Caenorhabditis elegans: one gene and its partner. The protein of the gene in region 2 interacts with the protein of the main gene of each other region in a pairwise test. Each region holds a gene or a part of one and is shown on either strand. Other genes may lie near its edges.

What was found.
Region 1: the proteins of atx-3 (region 2) and haao-1 interact in a two-hybrid assay, tested with the Caenorhabditis elegans proteins (one large-scale study listed by BioGRID).

What each region holds. Positions count from the first base shown.
Region 1 is NC_003283.11:9,502,991-9,507,665, reverse strand, and holds haao-1 (3-hydroxyanthranilate 3,4-dioxygenase), read right to left. Parts: upstream 2,757-4,675; 5' UTR 2,656-2,756; intron 2,062-2,655; 5' UTR 1,978-2,061; coding exon 1,734-1,977; intron 1,471-1,733; coding exon 1,240-1,470; intron 1,198-1,239; coding exon 1,083-1,197; intron 1,032-1,082; coding exon 917-1,031; intron 869-916; coding exon 783-868; intron 738-782; coding exon 683-737; 3' UTR 548-682; downstream 1-547. Other genes in the region: swt-5 (Sugar transporter SWEET), read right to left, coding at 3,225-3,341, 3,898-4,017, 4,133-4,195, 4,254-4,346, 4,397-4,520. UniProt on the Caenorhabditis elegans protein: Catalyzes the oxidative ring opening of 3-hydroxyanthranilate to 2-amino-3-carboxymuconate semialdehyde, which spontaneously cyclizes to quinolinate.
Region 2 is NC_003283.11:15,574,850-15,579,499, forward strand, and holds atx-3 (Ataxin-3 homolog), read right to left. Parts: upstream 2,595-4,650; 5' UTR 2,478-2,594; intron 2,039-2,477; 5' UTR 2,030-2,038; coding exon 1,862-2,029; intron 1,814-1,861; coding exon 1,668-1,813; intron 1,618-1,667; coding exon 1,463-1,617; intron 1,318-1,462; coding exon 833-1,317; 3' UTR 649-832; downstream 1-648. Other genes in the region: Coiled-coil domain-containing protein mdt-28, read right to left, coding at 1-225, 490-547; F28F8.9 (uncharacterized protein), read right to left, coding at 2,804-2,959, 3,062-3,183, 3,230-3,308, 3,371-3,556, 3,608-3,637; F28F8.7 (ELM2 domain-containing protein), read right to left, coding at 4,244-4,650. UniProt on the Caenorhabditis elegans protein: Acts as a chain editing deubiquitinating enzyme that binds and cleaves 'Lys-48'-linked polyubiquitin chains, with a preference for chains containing four or more ubiquitin molecules thereby modulating protein degradation by the ubiquitin-proteasome pathway.

The DNA of each region.
Region 1 (4,675 bases), 6.1 Mb from region 2:
TTTAAAGATCTGAAACTTGGATTGTACGTCATTGATCATATTAAAAAGATGCTCAAAACAAGGAAGTACTGGCCAAATTTCAACAATCAAAGTTCTCGTGACGATTTGACAGTAAAAAATGAGGTATTGTGAACATTTTCTAAATTATAGTTTTTTTCCAACCGAGAAGTTATTTTAAGTTATTATTTTCAATCTTCCCCATCAAATTTAAAAACAACCCCTTTGAAAATTACGGCTAAAAGGCATTTATTATTTTTCTGCTAAAAAATTTTCGGAATGAGTTAACGTTTTTTTTTCTAATGAAATAGAAATCATACTAAAAATAGTTATGTAAACTAACTACAAAACAAAAATTGGATTCTTTGTATTTTTAACCAATTTTACAGTTTTTACAGTGACATAATTTCCTGAAACGAACAACGAGGTCTGAAAGTACAAATTTTCTGAAGCTTTGAAGAACATGATGGTTTTGCTGAACCGACAGCGTGTGTTACACGAGACATTTGACATCGATGATAATGAAACGGAATTGATGTTATCAGTTGGCCACGATTGCATGTCATTCATTTTGTTATAAATCAAAATTGAAATTACATTTTGGAATAAAGATAGAAATATTGAAAAAAGCATTCATTCAATCAGCCTATATGGAAATTGACTTTTACAAAATTGAAAAAAAAAATTATGCTGGCATTCTGATGGTGATAGCAAATCCTCCTTTGACATTAAGAAGACACCTAAAACAAAATTATTTCAAAGAACCTATAATTCCGTATTCTTACTTTGTGTTCGGTTTTATCCTAACCATGGTCTCCGATTTCATTGCATAAGTGAACCCGCTCTCTTCTACGACCGCAAATGTGTTTTCCTAAATGATACATGAATTTTTTTTGGGATTTTTCTGTTTTTGCCATACCTGCAACCAAATTAGCAACTCTACAGTTCCACTTTCCAAATCATAAGATCCCTCTCCTAGCAACATAACTTCAGTTTTGTACTCAGGTGCTCCATAAATTCTCACTGGTCCGTTTCTGAAAACTTCTCAAATTAACTATCCGAAACAAAACCAACTAATTTCTTACTTCACTTCACTGATATGATCATAGATAAATTCTTTTCTATTAATAGGTACGGGTAAATCAGTCCATCTTGCTTCGTATGGAGCATTGCATGCAAATGTTCCTTTTCCTGGTTTACCTGAAACAAAAAATCGGTGAGCTCACACAACTACAAACCAACCAGTTTTGAATTCATTCGATCCATAAAATTCTTTGATTAATGGAGGTAAATCCTTGACAACATCAGTCAAATAGAACCATCTTTCAAAGAGTGTGATATTGGAAGAACCAACAAGAAATCGAACACAATCAAATTCAGTATTCTTTCGTTCACGTTCAACGACAAGACCAATAGAGTTGGAAAATCTTTGAGGTGAATGTTCTACTCTTGCTGGCAACATGAACATTTCCCCTGAAAAATAGAGAGCTCAATTTTGAGTTTTGATTCAGATTATCTAACATTTGTGAAAAAAATAATTCCAAAAAATTTTTGACAACACAGATTTAGTTTCCGTTTATAAATTGTGAAAAATTCTCAATTTTCAGTCTAAATTTTTTGTTCATGGAATTTTAATTTAAAAAGCTAGTTAAAAAGTTATCTAAGAAACCATGTGAGTTTGTGTTATTAATTAATTAATTTACAAATTCAAAAATAAATTTTGTGATGAATCCTACCTTGCTTGATTACTAGATCACGGACTTGACCCTTTTCAATCACTTTCAGTACCATATCCCCTTTTCTCTGGAAGAAAAACTCTTCTCCTTCTTCCAAATGAAAATCTTTTCTTTGATTTGGTCCTCCAACGTAGAAAACTTTCAACTGATCCGAGAACATACACTTGTTACAAACAGGTGGTACAAAATCCTCTTGATTATCTTGAATCCATTGTGGAATCTCAATTGCAGTAACTCCGCTCATTGTTATCACAGGTGGTTCTGCCAGTTTGAGTTGAGGCTTCTGTTGCTCTTCGGTAGAAACGGAAGTCGTACAGACTACTTGCTCCTGATGCGAAATGAATAATTTAGTGGAGGTGAAGCAACTCATCGATTGACAAGGGAATTAGCTCAAGACGAATTGGTAGAGAACTGAGAGATCGGGTTGAAATTGAAAAAAGACTGGAATATATGAATGGCAAGTAAAAGTGACATTTTGACCTCTATAATTATCACAAGAAACGAGAAACGGACAATAAATCGTCGAGAAATACCAATACAAGGCGTTCTTGGGAACGCTTTGAAGTTCAAAGGAACAAAGCATTCGTACCCACCTATTACAAAGTTATGCATGAGAACACATTTTGTAAGTAGTCAAGTTGCCAAAAATTGATTTTAAGCCATAAAAATAATCCTCAGATGCCATAAAGAGAATATGAAAATTTACATAATTTTGAGAACGGCAGTGAGTGTGTTCAGGAATTGATACGATTATGAGCTAAGTACAGTAATCCCCAGATGAAAATTTCGAATTCAATAGAATGTTCAGAGAGTCTCTAAAAGGTTTGGATGTAATAAAAGAGATTAAGAATAGATAATATAATAAACGAATGACCTTCTTTCATATACACCAATTAATAATATAACCTGCCATTCTTCTTACCTTCAGTTTATATTTCTCATATAAATATTGCAGTTTATTGGGTTTTTTGGAACATAAGTTGACACATTCCATCTCCGAAACTTCTCTTTTTCTAACCTAAATTATAAAGCTAAAGTCATAGACGATCGAAGAATTTGTCAATTCGATTACAGTAACATAGACTAAATCACCCACAAAAAACCGAAATTTTTCAAAAAATTGTATGTGGTTGAGACAAAGCGGTGTTAATGTCCGATTAACGCGACGAAATGATAAACGTGCAATGTCACATCTTCTTAATTTCGCCCATCTTCTTCTTCTTATTTCCGTTTTTTGTGTCTTTTTTACATTTTTCTTATTCTCGTATCTAAATCTCCGTGATTTGCTTATTCTTCGCTGATTCAAGTGTCGCTTTTCAATTCTTGATTAATGATAAATGTTTGACCGTCTTAAGGAACTGGTACCCGTTTATTTCGAAAAATTGAGAATTGGGAGTGGGAGGAGGAGAGAGAAGCAACATTAAATTGGTGTTGGAGAGAAAATTGATAGAAAACCTGAGATGCTTTGACCAAAACACGAAGCATTCTGGGTTACATGACTGTTGGAATTGGTGACGATTTCAAATTTTTCTTCTTTTTTTCCGTTGGATACACGAAGAACATCGAGAGAAGTGAACCATCCATACAGAAGAAGATCACGTTGGCTAACTGAAAAGTTGTAAAATTGAATTTAGGATTATCTTAACACATTTATTGGTGCAAAAAATTGTCCACATACTTGAAGTTAGTGTTTTACATCTAAAAGCAACGAATTTTCAAGAATGAAGCGTGGCCTAGAAACTGAGAAAACTCGGTCACTTTCAAAAAGTTGAATTTACACGTGGTGTCAGGCTGTCCCATGTCGGTTTGATCAACGTAGATCTACGAGAATTGCGGGAAATTAGACGCTGACTTCTCTACTGATTTAGCATGGTTAAGAGCGTGCTGACGTCACATTTTTTTGGGCAAAAAATTTCCCGCATTTTTTGTAGATCAAACCGTAATGGGTCAGCCTGGTGCCACGTTATTAAGAACTATCTCAAGAAATCTTCTCCGAAAAACCAATAGAAAAACTATTTTAAGTACATTACTCTCAATCTTCAGAGTGTTCAGAAAGAACCTGTGAAAATTAAAGATAAACCGCCGACCGAGTTTTAGATCTTTCTAGGCCACGTCGAAAATGTGACCCTTTGATTTGATAACAGTTAAAAAATTCCGAACAAACCAGCATGTAAAAATCATCAATACCAATACTATAAACGATCGCGTGGAGCTCCATTACCCACGTGAAGACCACTGGAGCCAGGGGTACAAAATCTATACATTTCGATGTTACTGCTTTGTACTGCAAAATGAAATTTGGAGGTATGGGGAATTGAACCCCAGACTTCTCGCATGCGAAGCGAGCGCTCTACCCCTGAGCTATACCCCCGACGGCTAAACGGGTAACTAGTACTTACTATTAGATACGGACAGACCAGAGACCCAGCAATTTGAGCGCCAGATGCGATGCGGCCAGTGAACTGAAAGAGACATAGAGAAATGAGAGTGTATATAAGAAAAAGGGACGCAGACACTCACTTCTTTCCCGTCTTCATCATTCATATTACCAATGTACAAGAAGAGTAAAGACAGAGCAGCTGCAATTCCAGTCATTAGACGAATTAACTTTCGCTGAAATTAAAAACAAATATTTAAAAAGAACAAGATCCAAATATAAATACTCTTTTGGTACGGTAGAAAATGAGTGCAATCACGAAGAATAGTTGCATTGAAACTGCATATGTCTGCAAAAGGATAAGCTTTGTGTCCCGAAGAAATATTGAATACCGAAGCCATAGTGCAGACCTGAAACTTTTGGAATTCGTTGTACAGTTTTATTATAGCAGCAATTACAGAACCATTACAGTAATCCAGTTTATTTTGTGAACTGAATACTGCAATATCGGAGAGTCGGAATAAAAAGAGAGGCAGAAAAAATTGTGCCCTGGCTTTGAAACGGT
Region 2 (4,650 bases):
TCATAAGCGAATCGATTGCGTCGCCCAGATAAGTTGGCTCGATCGGCTCTTCGTCATCCTCGTTCGTTGAGCCGGCTCCATCATTTCTCATTCGTCTTTCGTCGTTTTCAATGGATCCATCAGCGGCTCCTTGTGGAACACTATTCGAGTATTCGTCGTCTGGAAGATCCGGAGCATCGCCGAGAATATCGTCAATGTCCTCACCGCCGCCGCCGAATTCTGGAACTATTAGATTTTGTAAAATATTTTTATTATTTCGGCTCAAGGGTGCCATCAAATAATTTTTTAAAGTTTTTTTTTTCAGAGAAAATCGGGAAAAAATGATCAGAAAATTAACAAAAAAATTCAATTTTTATCAAATTTTGTATTAAAATAGCTTAAGATATTGCCATTTTCTTCTTTTGAGTAAAAAAACTGGGAAATCCTACTCCTCGTGGAGCACTAGCTTAAGCTCGAATTCGAAAAATTTCTTGAATTTTCAAAAATCACCATTCATTGGCATTTCCTGTTCTTCTCCGCCGTCCTCTGCATCCAATTCCTCGAACATTTTCAATCTAAAAAAAATGATTATTTTTTCCAAAAACTCTAAAATTGAAGGTAGTAATACTCATGGAATGCCAGAATAACTTTGAAAAGGGCAACAAAATTCAGAAAAAAAGGAGATTTCATCTAATTCTAAATAATATATCACATAGTCTGAAAGCGGTTCATACATAAGCACCAAGTATTTGGGGATACAAGTATCGGGAGAAATGAATAATCGAATTATACAGGAAAAGCCGAGAATATATTCACATAATAGAATTCAAATAATAAATTTACGATTAAATCGTTATTTTTCATCGTTCCTCTCTTCTTTCTTCTTTTCGAATCGCTCCAAAAACTTTTGTCGATCTCTGCGCTGTTGTTCGGCATTTGAAAAAGGTTCTGAAGCTCCTGGCGGCGTCGAAGATCGAGAACGAGTCAATAGCGGTATCTCAGCCGGTTCTGATGGTCCTGGAGCCTGGCTCAGCTCAATCGCCTTTCTGAGATTTTCTTCATCGATTTCAGCGGAACTTCGAGACACTTCAGAGCCATCCTTTGTTTCCATAGACATTGCAAAAGCTATCGCCAAATCTTTTTCTTCTTGAGAATCCGGAGGAGCACCGCTTCCACCGCCAAGTCGTTTTCCGACGGTATTGAAGAATTTTGTCATGACTTTCTCCAGCTTCTGCTCCTTTTTCGGTGTAACTTTTGGCGGTACAACTGGGCATAGCGAGATGAGATCGTCTGCATCGGATCTTGGCAAAACTCCCTGCACCACGAAGATTGAATAACCTGAAAATTGATAAATTAAAATAATTTTCGATTTTTGGAACTTTTTTTCAGAAAAAAAAATCAACGCTACAGCTTGTAGTTTAGGGATAAATAAAAATCTGGCTCTAATTATCAAAATTTAGCTTCAAAATTCATGAATTTATACCTTCCGACGACACTTGATGCAAGAACATGCTAACATAAGTGTCAGAGAGCAATTTGGGCCCACGGTTCACCGAATTCAGCTCGAACCATTGATTTCCGAATTTTCGGAGCACAAACCAGTGCTCTCTGAGGTTGCATATGTAAGCACGGGCGGTTCTGAATTGGAAATTATGAAATTTTTTTGTAAATTATATGGTAACTCGTACAAGGGATTATTTTTATAGTCCACCATCGCAGGATTTTCGATATTTGTGAGCTTGAGGCTAAATGTTTCAAGTGCTTTCTCCAAAACTTGAATTGAAAAGTAGCCGCTTTCGTTCATGTTCTCACTTCGTCCCGGAGTTGGGTTTGCCTGAAAAATCAAGAATTTCAATTAAAATTTTTTCGTATTTTCCATTACATTTCCCAGAATTTGTTGTTCCATTTTATCCATCTGAATGGCCAAGTCTCGGAGATCTTGCCACTTGTACAGAGCATCTTGTAGGAGCATATTCAGCGCGTGTTGAGCACAAAGAGCAGCTTCCTGGTGCTCGAAGAAGATGGAGTTGATCGGATCGTCTTTTGACATTTTTTGGAGCTGGAAAAATTTGGATTAGGGAAACGAATGGAGAAAATAAATAAAACACCTCAAATTTTGGAGAAGAAAACTTGGAAATAGTTTTATTTTTTCGATTTCACAATAATATTCCTCATGCTGAATGCCAAAATCGATATTTTTTGTAAGACGGATAGGTTTAAAAAAAAAATTGAGATTTTATAGGAAAATTCGCGAAGAATTGTTAACAAGCTGTTATTTTTCGAAAAAAACAACACGACTTCTAATGTTTTCCATGGAACTCCAGCACAAAACTGCAAAACCATCGGATATATTGTTAGAATTTTTACAGGATAAACTTATTTTAATAAAATTACGTCAATTTATAACTTGTTTTTCAACAAAAATAACCAATTTCGTTTGACAACCTACGAAAAATGTGAAATTTGATGAAATCGAAAAAAAAACGAAATTAAAAAACCTCAACGATGCTCCGAAATAACGACACCGCGTGTTGTTTATTCTACGTTTTATTGACTTTATTCAAAAGGTTTTCGAGAATTTCAGCTTGAAATAAGAATTTCGGTATGTTTTGGAGCTGAAAAAAGTCAAAGTATTCTGCAGAATATTGTTCTGAAATTGAAAAAGTCATAAAAATCGTATCGTAAATATAATAAGGCTTAAACACAACCTCGAAAAAATATACGACATTTTACAATGAAATCGAGAGAAATTGGCTAGTTTTATGCAAAATTCACAGAAGAAAATCAATAAATAAGTTAATAAATATGTCACATGAAATTAGAATTAGTTCTGGTTTTTCGGCGACTTCAAGTCTCCGTTTTCGTCGATTAATTGCATCTTCAATGCGCGAAATCTCGTCCAATACGTGACGTCATACCATTCTTTGATGTCGAGAACTTTTTGAACGCCTTGTAGCTTCAACGTCCATTCCACGGGGCTCTGTAACGATTTTTGATATAATTTTTGGTAAAAAATTGAGAAATAATTTATACAACGTGTCATTTTTTGTAGAAAATCTTCAATTTTAAATTTTTATATTACTTTAAAAGGAATTTCGAAGCCATCTTTCCGTCTCCGCTGAGCAATCGCCATCTGTCTTGCTGATGTGATTATTCGAAGTTTTGCCAAATCTGTGAGCCTTTCCAGCGCTTTTTCGTCGATTTCTAAGCCAAATAAATATGGAAATGAATGAAAAATTCAATTTTCTACCTTCAAATCCTGCAAATAGTGTCATTAATCGGATGCCAGCCTGCAAATCATTTTCGAACTTCTCCTTCTCGACTCGGCACTGCAAATTGACTGAAAAATATGTAAAAAATAGAAAAAAACTGTTGAAAAATAAATTCTTACTCTCTTTCTGCATGGCTCATCAAATTCCTCGGCTTTTCGTTTCTCAATCTTCGGAATTTTGAAGCTTTTCACATTTTTGAAGTATTTTTTCACATTTTCTGTTTCTTCTAAACTCCAATCGTCTCTTCGAAGCACGTCTTCCACGTACATTGTGGCGCCGAGAAGGTAGCGGGCCATTTTTTTTAGCTGAAATAAGTCATTTAAAGCGTAAAGAAGGAAATCTGGGGCAAAACGAACAAGTTGACAAGAAAATTCATCTATTTCCATTAAAAAAAATTTCGCTGAAGAAATTTGCCGACGTCACTCCAATGTTGCGCCGGAGCCTTGTTTAGCGTAAATCTACACAAGCAAATTTTAGCGGTTAATTCGAATATTAAACCTGAAATCTCTCGATTTGGGTAAAGAAAACAATATTTTCAACTGAAAACTGAAGTATAAGTTGAGTTTTTGGATAATTCAACCAGCATTATGAAACGAGAAACAAGAATATCAACAGAATATCACTTTTGTAAGTGAGAACCGGGGGAATGTTTAAATTTAAAAAAGGGAAAGCAATTAAAAATGTCGAAATAACTTCGGGAATTGAGAAATGTGCAAAGTAAGAAAACAACAAAAATTTATAGTCAAAGTACAGGGATTTGGAATTAAAAAAAATAAGGGAAACATACAGTTACTTCAAAGGCGCAAGCGTCATTGCAATTCGATGGGTCTCGTAGCGAATGGTTTATTTTTGCATCATTATTTTTTGCTGAATTTCGAAAATATTTTTATTTTATTTATTTTTAAAATTTTTTCATAAAATCTTCGTCTTTTGATAACGTTTGCGCCTTCAAAGTAACTTTAAACCGAAAAAAATGCAATAGGATATGTGATTTATGGTCTTTGAACTCGTTCGAAATTTTTCGAATTTTTCACCGAAACAATCATCGTCTTGAGCTTTTCCGCTACTCCTGGGCAAACTTCAACGATCATGTGATGTCCATTTTGATAACCGCATTTTTGGAAAAGCGGGATAGAATATGGCTTCAGCTTTTCAGACGTTGACATTGCAGAAATACGCTTCTCCACAGCCAAATGACGATTGATATTGTCGTTGTGTCCGAGAATTTCGATCTCTTCCTTTGTGAGCTCAGATCTCTTCAATGCGTAGATCTTCTCAAACTCTTCCCGTGACAGTGAGCCCGACGATGTTCGCATCAGCGTATTCCAAGAAATAACCTTGTTGGCTTCTTCCTTGCTGAACACAGTGGCTTTCGATGGACGGGTGTTTCCAGTAATTC